Linked DNA regions of Elephas maximus indicus. The protein of the gene in region 2 purifies or fractionates together with the protein of the main gene of each other region. This does not show direct contact. Links are inferred from orthologs where the notes say so. Each region holds a gene or a part of one and is shown on either strand. Other genes may lie near its edges.

What was found.
Region 1: the proteins of TRIM47 (region 2) and PPM1A purify together in Homo sapiens (affinity purification with western blotting; 3 studies listed by BioGRID, with this or other methods). This does not show direct contact. The link is inferred for Elephas maximus indicus from reciprocal best matches to the Homo sapiens genes TRIM47 and PPM1A.

The regions. Positions count from the first base shown.
Region 1 is NC_064828.1:72,637,713-72,645,251, reverse strand, and holds the start of PPM1A (protein phosphatase 1A), read right to left. Parts: upstream 3,020-7,539; 5' UTR 2,867-3,019; intron 2,614-2,866; exon of another isoform or gene 2,275-2,613; intron 2,166-2,274; exon of another isoform or gene 2,064-2,165; intron 1-2,063. UniProt on the Homo sapiens protein: Enzyme with a broad specificity. Negatively regulates TGF-beta signaling through dephosphorylating SMAD2 and SMAD3, resulting in their dissociation from SMAD4, nuclear export of the SMADs and termination of the TGF-beta-mediated signaling.
Region 2 is NC_064837.1:66,121,404-66,128,881, forward strand, and holds the start of TRIM47 (E3 ubiquitin-protein ligase TRIM47), read right to left. Parts: upstream 3,002-7,478; 5' UTR 2,980-3,001; coding exon 2,167-2,979; intron 1,127-2,166; coding exon 1,031-1,126; intron 804-1,030; coding exon 573-803; intron 422-572; coding exon 223-421; intron 1-222. UniProt on the Homo sapiens protein: E3 ubiquitin-protein ligase that mediates the ubiquitination and proteasomal degradation of CYLD.

The sequences.
Region 1 (7,539 bases), on a different chromosome or scaffold from region 2:
GTAGTTAAACCAGAATCAGCTATACATTCTGAGCCATTACAATAAAGCCTAGGTTTAATCGGAACAAATTCAAAGACTACAGGTTTTTAGTTAAGTGCTGAGCAATATTTACCATGTGACATAATGATGTTGCTATAGATTTGTTATATACTCTATCCTACAGAGTCGCTATTGAGTTGGAATCTACTTGAGAGCAATGGGTTTGGATTTGGTTTATAGGTTTTTTTGGAAAAAAAAAATCAGGCACTAGGAACAAATTTTCAAATGAAGGTTTAGTAAGTCAAGATAAGCAAGACCGAGCATGAACTGTCAGCAAAACTCTTACAATGTCCTTCATATCAAACTACCCAGGGCAGAGCACTTGTTCAAACCTGTTGTCTTAGCTATCTTTTGTCCCTCGGAATCTCTGTCCTTTCTCCCAGGAGTTTCTTCCCAATCTCAACAGAGAAATCAATAAAGTTTATTTACTAGAGTATCTTTCCTAACAAACACTGAACAACTTAAAGTTCTCTTAAATAAAACACAACCCAGAAAGAAAATCAGCTTTAGAATGTTGAAGCATCTAAGTGCCTAGTACGTACCAGGCATTTGGTCATAGTACATTGAATGTCGGACACACAATGTTGACGCCAAAAAAAAAAGAAACCAAACTGGTTGCCCATCAAGTCGATTTCAACTCAGCACCCCTACAAGACACAGGAGAATTGCCCCATAGGATTTCCAAGGAGTGGCTGGTGGATTCAAACTGCCAATCTTTTGGTTAGCAGCCAAGCTCCTAACCACTGTGCCACCAGGGCTCCATAATGTTGATGAGAGAATAAAAAATTTAACATTTGATAAATAAAATAATCTGCCCCTTTCACTTTAGGGTTTTTGGAAACCGAGAATCAAAAGGTTAAAGGACTTGTCCATGGACACAGATTATTTTGGAGCACAGCCATGACTAAACAATTCTTGCCTCCTAGTAGTGTCCCCTTCAAAAGATCATACTGACTAAAAAAAAAAAAGATCATACTGTAAGTATAGTCACCACTTCTACCCTTCATACTAAATATAAAAAGATACAACCCATGTAAAAAGCAATGTTGATGACTCTGGCACTCAACCATAGTATTTCTCAAATATAACACAGATTGAAGTAGCTAACTTCAAACTATTAGTCTTAATATACAGCTCCACATAATTACTTCACACAAAATTACTTCACTGATGAGGAAAATGTTTATCAAATAAAAAATGTCTTAAGCAACTTCCATGTGCAGTTCATTATAATTTTAATAATGTGGTATTTGCTGTAAACTTGCAGGTTAAAACTAATCATTCCAACATGACTGAATGTTTAACCAGATATACGCGAGTTACACATAAGAACAGAACTATAATTTCATGAAACAAATGTTACTGTGTGCTTCAAATTACTTATTGGCAAAAGAAACATTAAGTAATTAACATCCAGGGTTAGAAAACTGGGGGGGAGGGGAGGAGGAATGAAAGTTTCAGAGAGTGGTCACTATCTTCTTACTCTTATTTTCTCTTCTGTAAAGTTACAGAAATACAATCTTTGGAAGAGGCCCAATATTAAAAAGATAAAAATATAAAAGTGAAGTTGTTCCAGTTAAAAAGGGAGTTAGGGACCAAGCTCTGCCAGCTGGACTCCTGAGAGCTCTGAAGCCCCTAAGGCTCAGCAGAGTACTGTTTAAATAAATAAATTCTCTGTCTCTTCAGCGCTCTCTGTACTTGAAACATGGTTGTGTTTAAAACCAGAACGTGCAAGTCTGAAAAGTTTTTAGATTTTTTTCGTAAGAACAATTAAAAAAATTTCTAATCTCTTTCAATAATCTCAAAATCATTTATTCTGGGAAAGAAATACACATCTCCCATGGATTTTTACACTTCCCATACTCTTTCAATAACTTCTTAAAACACAGTCTGCTCATTATTCCAATTAGCAGAAAACTTGGGACCGGGGGCGGCGCATATGTTTCCTGGCTTGGACAACTGAAGCACGACCTTTGCGGATTTGTAAGTACCATGTGGTGCTGGAGAAGAGAGAACGAAAATACCTCAGGTGATGAAATTTCCAAAAGATATCTAAAACTGCAGTTGGTAGAAGGCTCTCCACAGCCAGCTGTCTTTCAAGAAAAGGCTCCAAGTTTATTTAAAATCTACAAAGCAGAAGAGAACCATACCTTAACCAAGCTCTAACACTAAGAACTTTTACCCAAACAATTTCCACGATTAAAAAGACGAGGAGGAAAAATCAGTATAATTTACTTCAATGATTCGGTTCGATGTCTTAACATGAATGAATTGGAGGCGTCACCGACTCGAGTTCTGAAGCAGCCTCACTCTCAGCCCTGCTCCCTATAAAGCCTGAAGCAAATCCCCCAGAATCTGGTGTTTCGAGGGCTAGTCCGGTCCAAAGGACGCCTCTCCCTTTCTTCCTCCCGGCCTCCCTCCCAGGGGCTGGAGCCCAGGGCAGCGCGGCCGGGTGGGGGGGCGGCAGCCGCGAGGCCCGCTCCTCGCTCCGAAAAAGTTCCGCCGGCCGCTCTCGGGCCAGGCCGACCCGCGGCCCCCGCCCGCACGGCCGCCGCAAACACCCCGCCCGGGCCGTGGGAGGGTCGCGCTCCCTCCCAGCGCCGCCACCACAAACACCCCGCCCCCGCCCTCGCGGAGCGTTAACCCCTCGGCGCCCGCCGCCTGGCTCCGGGAAGGAGGCCGGCCAGGGGGTGGAGTTGTCGCGTCTCCTCTCGGGAGCGCCCGGGCAGACGCCCGGCTTGTTTACAGGCCCCAGGCCTGGCCGCGCCGCCGCTGCGCAGGCCCGCGCCGCTCGCCCGCCCGCCTTCAGCCCGAGCGCCGCGCTTACCCGGAGCAAGCCGCGGACTGGCAGGTCCCTGGTCGGCCGAGGCGGCGGCGGCAGCCGGGGGAGGGGCGGGGAGGGGGTCACCTCGGCGGCGGTCCGCCGGGTCAGGCAGGGGAGGGGGCGGAGGCGGGGAGGAGCCGGGCTGCGTCCGGGCCCCCGGCTCTCGGCGCCCTCGCGGCTCAGATCATCCGGGCGTTGGAGCGGGAGACGGAGAGCGGGTCCCGGAGAAAGAGGAGGAAGACCCGAGGATTCATCGCGTTCGCGCCCCACCTGCCTGGCGCCCCCCCACCCCCCACCCCGGCCACCCGTTCCGGAGCCGTAGGCGCCCGAGCTCCCAAAGCTCCGGGCCGGGCCGGCGCCGAGACCACTGCTCCCTCGCTCCCGCGCGCGCTCCCGTCCCCAGCGCCGCCGCTGTCTCTAGCGCGCCCCCGCGCAGGCGCGCTCACGACGGAGCCGCGCTGCCCCTCCCCCGCCCCGTGCCGCCCCGCCCCGCCGCCGCTACAGCTGCGGCGCGGCGGAGCAGCTGGAGAGACCCGGATGTCGTTGGGCAGGAACTGCGGCTAGCGCCGGTGGGAGGGGGAGGGGGAGGGGGAGGGGGAGGGGCGGCCCTGAATGACGTCACTACCATGCTTCGCCTGCCGCTGCTGCCACCTCCCCACCGAGGCTCCAGGCCGAGGCCGAGGGGAGCGTCCGGATTCCGGATAGGAACTGGGACCGGAGCTTGAATGGAATGTGCTACTCTTCGGGCCCGGTGGATTCGAGAGCCTTTCAAAGCCCGGCTTTCGGCCCTAGGGGATCTCGGAAGAGCCCCCCAGGGCGGCCGCACCTCCTCTCCTGGAGTTTCCACCTGTCTGCAGATGCACGCCCCACTCCCTGCCCCTCGACAGTCCCTGCTGAGACGCCGCCCACGGAGTCCCAAGGACTGACCTCGAGCTTTCCACCCTTCTCTGATTTAGTCGCGGCCTGGCCACTGCTCTTAGGACGCTCGTTTGGTCTCGTGCCCCAACCAGACCCCCTTCCCCGGTGCCCCGGTTTTCACAGAGCCATCCTACCCCAGGTGACCCAGGGAGGCCCACGGTGGTGCCACGGCCAAACACCTCGCTCTCCAAAGAGCAAGAACACACACACCCTACCACCACCCACCCACACTCGGGTGCAACTTATTCACGCACGGGGCACGTGTTCTGAGTTTCTGGCAGGTTTTCAGTTTGTAACTCATGGGATTCCACATTCGCACATGCTAGACATAACGTTATTCTGTAACAGGGGACCTACAACGACCTCCTTTGGGGTTAAGAAACGGAGGGTTCAAAATCCGGAGAATCAGAAGCGTAACAGCTGTTTCTATTAAGAATTAGAGATGAGCTAAACTTAGTTGAAACTGCACGTGCAGATGGCTAAAATCCAGTTCAGCTAGCTAGACTTCAGAAAATGTGACCCACGCTACTTGCAGACGCTGGGGGTAGAATGACAAACCTTAGGTGGCCAATGAATCAGAACTAAGAGCAATACATCACCAGCACGTTCCCATTGGCTGTGGCGCCTTTCTCTTGTTGGAGGATTAACCGGTTAGTGGGTTTCATCTACACCACTTTTGCAGTCACAGAAGTTTAAAAGAAAAATCCGTGGAGCTTTAAAAGATGCTTTGGTGTATGCAAAGAAAAATCAAATACTTCGTTGTAGGAGGGAGGTACTCTAAAAAGAACACCTGAAAATATTAGTCAAATTGAGCCCTGGCCAATAGGAAAGTAAGTTTGTGGTGAGGCCTTTCCATTTTATCTCCGGAGCTTACTGTAGCATTTTGCACCCTGGTACTCTTTATCTCCTAAAACCACTTTGTTGCCTCAACTCTTAGATCAAAAGAGAGTTATTTATTATGTCATTCTGTCATTCAGCTAGCATTATTTAGCTGCTTTTAAAGTTGTAAGAGCCCTGTCTAATTTTTTCAATTTGTCTTTTGTGGGAAGGTTCTGTGCCTTCCACTTTTAGACCTGGGACCTAACTACAGCAACAACAGTATCAAACAGTATTGCCAAATGGTCACTGACTGGTCAAATCTCCAAGGAACCCCAAAATCACTCTACCCAATATTTTTGGGTTTGAGATTTCTTAGAGTAAGATGAAGATGGATCATTTCCAGATATGCAAAGTAAAAAAATTCACTTATGCATTTGATCCCATCTGAGGACACATTTCCTAATTACTTCTCCACACACCTGCCAACAAAAGAAATTGGAACGAAGATCTTCGAAATTCTGCCCTACTGAAATCCTTAATACGTCAGACAAGTAATAGCACAATTAGCATGATGGTGGAGTCGTTATCACTCTGAAATAGAAAAGCCCATGTGGCAACCATGATTTGGCATGCTCTTAAAAAAAAAAACTAATTTTCTTATTCATGAGGTAGAAGCTGGTTCATCAACGGCAGTAGTGGGCCACAGAGAACTTGAAGGTCTTGCCCATCTTTCTGTGCCCTTCCTTTAGGTTTCCACCCCTTTCTTTTCTCTGCTCTACACTTATAGAAGGATCTGGCCAAATTGTAGCAGAAGTGGGAGAAAAATAGAAAATACGAGCACAGAGAGATTTATAAGTAATCTTCACAGTGTACCACAGACTACCAATAAACCTGCACCTTCCTGTTATTTATTTCTGGATACATTTTGGTATGAACTAAAAAACTCATGAATTATAAGATTAACGTTGTAAAATTCAGAACAAAAGTGTCAATAGTTTCTGATTAAATATGCTTGCTATTATAATATCCCTGTCATTAAATCTCATACTAAGGAAAAATTTTAAATATTTAGAAGGAAAAAAATTGAAAAAGAGTTAAAGGGTTTTGTTTGTTTTTCTCTTTTCAGCCTTGTCTGGGTGTTGTACACATATTTGGGCTCTTCATAGTAAGTTTTTGTGGAACATCAAAAACCAAACCAAAACCATTGCTGTTGAGTTGATTCCGACTCATAGCAACCCTATAGGGCAGAGTAGAACTACCCCCATAGGGTGTTTCCAAGGCTGTAAATCTTTATGGAAGCAGACTGCCACATCTTTCTCCCATGGTGGGTTTGAACTGTTAACCTTTTATTTGGTCTGCAGTGGAATGCTTAACCACTGTGCCACCAGGGCTCCTTTGTGGAACATCAGTAGGGTATATATTGCCATAACTGTATTTTAGTAATTTTTATAGATATAAAACTATGCTACTCTGCTTTAGAAATCTGTTTGAATTTCATTTAACAGAAAATATTTCTGAAAGTTGGCTTTAATGTCCTGAATTTAACTTGGTGCTATTAACCTAGTAATTGAGACGTTTGGGGTAAGGACAGGGTTTGTGGTGGAGAGTATAAAAACTTAAACTGGTCAGCAATACTCTCTTCCCCTTTTCTCACAACCATGACTTAAAGAAGAGGTTTACACTCTTTGTTGCCAAATTACTATAGTGAAAGCACCCAGGAGAATCATCCTGAGACAGCCTTGCCTGGGCCTCTCAAAACAATCTCAGCAATTTAAGTGACCTCTGGCGGGGGGGGGGGGGGGGGGGGGCGGAGACCTAGAATCCCCTTCACCTGAGCCATCCATCCATTCACACCAAAGCCAGTTAACTACCCAAGAGTTACAAAGCCAAGCAGAACAGCTTCGAGTCTTCCTACCTCCTGCTCTTTCACTACGTGTTTCACGCCTTTTTCTCACACACATCTTCTTCAGTTGTCTTTCTCTTCTCTCTTTTCTCTTCCTTATCGCTCTTCTCATTTTCTTCTGTTCACTCTCCATCTTCTTCACCTTTCTTTTCCCCATTCTTCTATTCTCTCTTTTTTAGCTTAGTCCAAATTACGGCATCTGCTCCCCACTCGCTCCTGGAGTAGTACATGTGAACTGATAATGCCCCCAAACTAATTTTGTTTGGGGGGTGTGAGCCCCCCCATCCTAGTGCTCCTTCCTCCCTCCCCCCCAACCATATCGTATCATGAAAAACTTAGCTGTTTAGAAGATTGTCATAGAATGATAAGGATTAGAGAATCTAGTCCTGTGTGACATCACTGGGGCACCCCCAGGCTGCACTGTGGCCCTTCCTAAGCCCTGAGCAACTTATTATGAAACATGGGCTACTATGAGGGCCACAGTTGAAGTCCTAGATGGTTTTTAAGTTAGGCTGTCGCATTAAGATAACCATGTATGTATGTCCACAGCCTTACAACATTGGTGTGCATCTTGTTAGACAAGTTCATCTGTTCAACAGATAGTTATTGTATACCTGGTGTTGTGCTGGATGCTGGGGGTAGATAATGACATCAGTGGGCAAGATCCCAGCCCCCAAGGAGCTGACGTTAGAGTGGAGGATACAAAGAAGTAAATAAATAAACAAGAAAATTACAGATTGTGATCAGTGCTGGGAAGGAAATAAATATGGAAATAGATGAGAAGAAGTTTTGAAGCGGATGTTCAGGGCAGATCTTTCTAAGGAGATAGCATTTGAACTGAAGGATGAGAAGGAGTCAGCTCTGCAAAGAATCAGGGGAAAGCTTTCCAGGAGAGGGATCAGCGTGGGCAAAGGGCCTGAGGTAGGAAAGAGAGTGCCAGAAAAGAATTATTCATACAACCTAGGAGAAGCACACCAAACCCAAGGTAAATTTTTTTTAATTGTCAAGAATATGTATATAACATAGCAGCTGCCAA
Region 2 (7,478 bases):
GAGCTAGGGGGTGGGCTAGGAGAAGCCCCCCTGCCCCCTAGGCTGTGGCAAAGTGGCTGCCTTGTCATCATGGGTGATGGTTGCAGGCACTGTCCGGGTTTGGCCCCACCCCATGCCAGGCACACAGTTTCCATTCTCCCCTACTGAATGGGCACCAGGCTGAGGGGCCTGTGCAGGGAGCCTGGGGGAGGGTGAGTCACCTCAGTGAGGGGCAACACCCACCTTCTGGCCCCATCTTCTGCAGGCCGTCCTCGTCACTGCCCAGCCCCTGCAGCTCCTCCCACTGGCTGGCACAGGCAGCAGCCAGCAGCTCTTTCACTGTGTGGACCGCCTGAGATGACTTGGTGAAGCTGAGCTCCCTTGGGGGGCCAGACCCAGGGCCGCACCCCTCCTCCAGGGCCAACCGTAGTGCCAGGAGCTCCTGCACCAGACAAATGCTAGCTGAGGCTCTGCTGGCCAAGCTGTACCTGCCCAGGGGGCAGCTTCACCAGGAGGCCCACAGCCCTTTGTCCCTCCACCCTGCCTGCCTTCACCAGCCTATTCCCTCTCTGGCCCGCAGAGCTGCCCCTCACCTGCAGGAAGCCAACCGAGTCGGCCTCAGGGACCTGGCTGAGGTTGTGGCGGGCTCGGCTCAGGCGGCTGCGCTGTTCCTCTTGCCGCCGCAGGTCGCCCTGGGAGCGGCCCAGCATGGTAGTCTCCCCCTCCTCAATGAAGCCCAGCACCTCGGCCTGGAACCTCTGCAGGGTTACCTCAGCCTCCGCAAACAGTCGGTTCACCCTCTCCCGCTCCGCCACGGCTGCACTCTGCACAGGACGACATGGGAGCAGGGTTGACGGCTTTGGATCCATCTTTCCCCAACACCACCCCCTCGCCCATTTGTCTTGGAGGTCACAGGGAGCAGCCCGAGCCTGACTGGGTCTGTACCAGGTCAGGGAGGTTCTCCTGCCCAGTGGATCATTGGACTGGATCATTCTACCCTGAGTGCTCTTCCCGTCAAGACCCTGCTGCAGGAGTGGGAGGGGGCTCTGACCTTGATGAGGGCCACGGTGCGCCGAGACTGGGCAATGCCAGCACCCAGCTCATCCATGCGGTCCTCCACGGCGCTCAGGACTTTGGGCTGCTCGGCCTGTGGATGACACCCCGTAAGGACACGGTCTGGCAGATGCCACAGCCCAGCACCAGGGGCCCTGCCAGGGGAGAGGAGAGGGGTGACCAGGAGTGACTTTGCACACTGGTTGGACTGGGAGTGACCATGATGTCTGATAAAGCCTGCAGCAGCTCCAGGCAGATGGAGCAGATGTGCCTCCAGTCCAGGCTGGTGCCATTCCCAAATGCCAATGGGGGGCACAGGCCGGTAGTGGGCTGTCTGCCTCCCTCTCTGACCAGTGGGGTCAAGTTCAGGGGCCATTGGTGGTCTCCTATGGATGAGAGGCTAGAGTTCATTTGAGAACTTCCTTCAGTGAGGAGGAGGCAGGGGTGAGCGAGTTCCAGAGGGAATGTATCAGAAGACACCCAGCTATCCTGGGGATCAATGTCCCCTAAGGGTCTGGGTTCACCATCTAGACCTGAAAACAGGGGATTCCAGGCAAATCCCTTGGGTCTTATGAGTCACAGCTCCAGGCAGGAAAAAAAAAAAAAAAAAAAAAGGAGAGACGGAAAATCCCAAGGCCAGAGGCGCCAAGTCCGGGCTGGAATCCAAAGGAAACTGGGGGCGGAGGTAGCGGGACAGGCTGAGCACATGCTCCCCACCACCGGCTCCCAGAACAGCTGGACAGAGCGGATCTGCGTGCCCTGATGCCGGCAGAGCCTGTCGCCTGCCACACCCATCCACACCCGCTGCCTCAGCCCAGGACAAATCTGAGATGGGACCGTTAGCCCTGTGCATCCGCGCGGAACCATGCGCCGGGAACCCTACGGGCCTAACCCGGCTCCTTTACCGGCTTAGACCCCGTTGACCCCGCTCCGATACCCTGCCCGCCCTTCCCTTCCCTTTAGAGTTCACACTGGCTTCCTATCTCCCCCATTTCCATCTCCACGGCCGTGAGCTGATGACATTGTCAAAGTTGGAAGGGAACGCAACGATCCTCACTATTTAGAGGAGGAAAGTAAGGCCCTCCCGGCCCCCCCTGGATTCCCCGCCCGGCCGCGGGGACTGCCGGCTCCCACCTCCTGGAGCGCGCGCTCCTGCTCCAGCGGCACCAGCTCGTGGCCGCGGTGCTCCTGGACGGCGCAAGCCTCGCACAGGCACACGCGTTCCGCGCGGCAGTAGCGCTCGAGCGGCCGCAGATGGCGCGGGCACAGGCTTTCCTCCAGCCGGCGCAGCGGCGGCACCAGGCGGTGTCCGCGCAGCGCGGGGCTGCGCTCGTGAGGGCCCAGGTGTGCCGGGCAGAAAGAGGCGAGACAGGAGAGGCAGGAGAACGCGGCTGGCAGGGCGGCGCCCTCAGGGCACGCATCGCAGCGCACCAGCTCTTCGGTTGCCGGCCACGACTCAGGGGCGCAGGGAGCAGACGGCTCCGGGGCGTTGGGCGGCGCGCTGGGCGCTGATGGCTCAGGAGCCAGGCCCGGAGCGGGGCCCTTGCCCGGGCCCGAGCCCAGGCGGAGCTGCAGCAGCTCGGCCAGCGTGTGGTTCTTGCGGAGCTGCAGGCCGTCGGGGAAGGGCTCCTGGCACAGAGGGCAGCGCGCAGTGCTCCCCGGACCGCCGGCGCCGCCCGCGCCGCGGTGCGGCCAGAGAGCACCGAGGCAGGCCAGGCAGAAGTTGTGGCCACAGGGCAGGGTCACCGGCTCCCGGAGCGGCTCCAGGCAGATGGGGCAGCTGAAGGGCCCGGGGCTGTCCATAGCTCCAAGGCTGCCGGGGGCACCGCCTGTTCTGCTCCCGCCTGGGAGGGACCGACCTGTTCGCGCCCGGCACCGCCCTCCCGGGATGGAGGCCAAGGGTCCAGCCCCGCCGCCTGGCTCGGCCCGCCCCTCAGCACCGCCCATCGCGGACACTCAGCCCAGCCCAGACTGCGCGGCCAACCCCTCTGCAGGAACCCCCGCCGGCTGGGAGGGGCTGCTGAAAGAGGTTTGCGGGAGGGGATGGCAGAGAATGCGAGTGGCACACCCTAGAAGGAATTGGAAGTTCACACTTGCATTCCCTCCCTACGCTTCCATCCTTGGCCGGGTCCGGGCCTCGGGAGGCGCTGGGCGGGCCTTCGGGCTCCAGACCTCTCCCCGCCGACGGCTCAGTACAGTTCCGGAGCTGCTGGCTGCCGAGAAAAGAAACTGCTGATGGGCGTGTGTTTTTGCCGTTTAGCGATTCTATTTTTTTTTATTTAGCCCTGGTGGGGAACTCAGGACTTTTCTAGACCTAGAACGGAAGCTGACATCATTCTCCAAGTCGCCCTCAGTGAGGAGTTCAGTCCTGGTCAGTGGAATTTATCTATTTTTTTCTCACGGGCACCTGCGGGAGTCTGAGGCTGGGATTCTCCAAGCGCAGGCATTTGTTAAAAGGCCTTATCTGTGCGCTTTACGGGGTGCATTGTGTGTAAATCATGTCTCAATAATGTTGACTAAAAAACCAGAATGCTAACAAATAAGGTAGCATTAGATTATAACCTGAGGTATAAAATAAATATCCGTGAGTCCATACTGGTGGAAATAAATTATGGAATAAATAAATAGGGAAGAAGAGAAAAATTTTCTCATTCAGAAGAATTCCAAATACTTTTTGTAGCTGCTCTGAGGTGAAGCCCAACTCCCCGGTCCTTAAGTGTGGGCTGCGTAGTGACTTCCTTCCCAATAGCACAAAATGTAAACTGGGGGGGGGGGGAGTAACTTTATGTGGAGAAACCTGACAAACGTGACCTCAGCCAGGTGATCAAGGTTGACATCAACAGTGATGTCATGCAGATGGTAGGCACCTTGATATGGTGTGATGAGAATGGCACTCTGCCTCTGTGGGCTTCCTTCCAAAAATCCATAACCCCAGTCTAATCAAGAGAAAAACTCAGACAAATCTCAGTTCAGGGACAGCCTACAGAATACCTGACCAGCACTCCTCAAAATTTTCAAGTCATCAAACACAAGGAAAGTTTGAGAAACTGTCACAGCCAAGAGGAGCCTAAGAAGACAGGACAACTAAATATAAGGGGGTGTCCTGAGTGGGATCCTGTAACAGAAAAAGGACATTAGGGAAAACCTAAGGAAATATGAGTAAAGTATGAATAGGATAAAGAATGAATCAATATTGGTTCTTCAGCTGTGACGAAAGTATGAACGTTCGTGTATGAGTTTTTGTGTGGACATACGTTTTCGACTGTCTTGGGTATATACCTAGGAGTGGAATTTATGGTAACTCTGTTTACTGTGTGAGGAACCGGCAGATTGTTTTCCAAAGTGGCTGCACCATTTTACAATTCCAGTAGCCTACATTCTCACCAAAACTTGTTGTTTTCCGTTTTCCGATAATAGCCATCTAGTAGGATAAAGAGGTTTCTCATTGTGGTTTTGATTCGCATCTCCCCGAAGACTAACAATGTCAAGTATCTTTTCGCGTGCTTACTGACCATTCGTATATCTTCTTTGGACAAACGTTCATTCTGAACATTTCCCCATTTTTTACTTGTGTTATTTGTCTTTTTATTCTTGAGTTGTAAGAGCTCTTTATATACTCTAGATTCAAGTCCCCTTCCAGATATATGATCTTCAGAATTTAAAAAAAAATTGTGTTTTCAATTTCTTTGTTTTTTAATTTTATTGTTTTAGGTGAAAGTTTACAATGCAAATTAGTTTTTCATTCAAAATTTATACGCAAATTATTTGGCAACATTGGTTGCAATCCCGGAATGTGTCAGCACTCTCCCCCTTTCCCTTTCCACCCTGGGCTCTCCCTGTCTGTCAGTCCAGTTTTCCTGTTCCTGCCTTCTCTTCTTTGCTTTTGGGCAGGAGTGGCCCATGTGTTCTATTTCTTGATGGTGTCCTTTGAAGCACAAAAGTTTTTATAAGTTTGATGTCCAATTTATCTATTTTTTTCTTTTGTGGCTTGTGTTTTGGGTGTTCCTGCCCTGGTTTTGGGGCCTGCTAACTCCTTTCCTGCCCCAGGAGAGCAGGGGTCCCCAATCTAAACACTTTATTCCAGAGGCAACAAAGCCCTGCTTTCTCCAGGGAAACAGTAATTCTAATGCTATTATGTTATCATTTTGGCACTTATATATTATAAAAGCAACATGTTCTAGAGAGCCTCTTTCACCTCCATGAACTGTTGAGCAGAAGAAAGACCGCACCTTTTTAGAGCCAGACCTGGGTCCCAATGCCTGCTTCACTACCTTGCGGCTGTGTGACCCCAGGGAAGGTTATTTAACCTCTCTGAGCTTGATTTCCTTGACCGCACAATTAGGAAATGAATATACTTACCTCGTAGGGTTTTTGTGAGGATTAGATGAGGTAACACCTGTAAATCCTTTAGCACAGGGCTTCTAAACCTAGGCACTATTGCCATTTGGGCTGAATAACTCTCTGTTGTGGGGGGATGTTCTGGGCATTGTAGAGGTTTAGCAGCATCTCTGGCCACAACTGACTAGATGCCAGTAGCATCCTCCCAGTCATGACAGTGAAAGTCGTCTCCAGACATTGCCAGATGTCTTCTGGGGGACAAAATTGCCCAGTTTAGAATAGCTGTTTTAGCACAAGGCCTGGCCCATGGCAGGTGTTCCCCCTTGCTAATACAGGGCAGCTATTGTTACTCCACTTCCTGCCAATTAGACTCTAAATCATGACAACCCCATGTGCATCAGAGTGGAAATGTACTCCATAGGGTTTTTAATGGCTGATTGTTTGGAAGTACACCCATTCCTCGCTTATTGGCATGGTTAAGTTCCAAAAACAAGCCCATTATGTGAAAATGGAAGATGACCACATCAGATCACCATACAGTATGTGGGATGCATGTGTCCCTCTGGACCTGAGAGGCAGAAAATATAGGTGGGTGCTCTCTGTCCCACTGGTCATGAAAACATTACTGCCAGACGTACATCGTTAATGGGCAAAACTATTATCTAAATGTGAAATGTTGGATAATGAGATAGTTGATAAGTAAGGAGTAGGTGTAGATAGTCAGGCCGTTCTTCTGAGCCACCTGTCTTAGGCGGGTTCTCTAGAGAAGCAAAACTATTAAAGCGTATAAATATATATAGAGATTGTGATTGTAGAGGCTGGAACATCCCAAGTCCGTGGATCAGGACAGTGGCTTCTCTCGAGTCATGTAGCTGCAGGGGCTGGCGAACCCAAGATTGGCAGGCCAGAGAGCAGGGCTCCTGCTCTCAGGCTGTGAAGATTGATGAATTCCAAGACCTGCAGATAAGCTGATAGCTCAAGTCCCAAGAGCCGAAGGAAGGTCAGATGAAAGGAGGCAGCCACAGGGTCCACAGTGAGCAAAAAGCCAGAACATCTGCTTATATTTGGATGCAGGCCACACCCTCAAGGAAACTCCCTTCCAACTGATTGGCTACTCACAGCAGATTCCATCATGGGAGTGATCACATATAAACACTGAGAATCATGGCCCAGCCAAAAATCATACTACCTCTGGGTAGACTTAAACCTCCACAACCTTTCCATTAGCAGCCGAGCATGCTAACTATCTGCACCACCCAGGAGCTCTACTTTCAATAGATCAGCCATTGAAAACCCTATGGAGCACAATTTCTACTCTGACACACATGGGGTCTCCCTAAGTCAGAACTGACTGGATGGCAACTGGGTTATTACAATTACTCGTATCCTACAAGAAGGTAGGACCCCCTACCCTTCACCCCACACCTGGGCAGAGCCCACTTCCCTCTGTAGACACCAAAGCTTTGTCCTCCCAAACCTCTTATAGACTCCTTTGTTTCTTGCTGTATTTCCTTTGGCCCCAGTCAGCCAGCAGGCTTTTTTGATGGCCTGGGGGGGTTGGAACTGACTCGACATCAACGAGTTTGGCTTTTGGAAGCCCTGGTGGCTAGTGGTTAAGTGCTACAGCTGCTAACCCAAGGGTTGACAGTTCAAATCCGCTAGGTGCTCCTTGGAAACTCTACGGGGCAGTTCTACTCTGTCCTATAGGGTTGCTATGAGTCGGAATCGACTCGACGGCACTGGGTTTGGTTTGATTTTTTGTTTTGGGGTGTGATGAGCCGTGGGGGCAACAAAGAAGAATAAGGCAAGGAGGTGTCCAGCCAATCGGGGAAATGTGTCCCAAACCTGAATAACCACACTCCTGGCTGGGGGAAGGGCACCTATGAGAGAGACGATACATTCTGGGGGTCCATGGAAAGGCTGGGGGACTGCAGAGGTCCATGTGACGGAGGTGCCATCTCAACCGGGCTTTCTTGGACTGGTAGGACTCAAAAGTGCAGAAAGCAGGGCGGGAAAAGGCCTTCCAGGCAGAGGGAAAAACTGAGGGACATGGCCTGGGTGTGCACAGTTTGGCAGGAAGGCAGGGTAATGAGTTCCATACGTTGGTT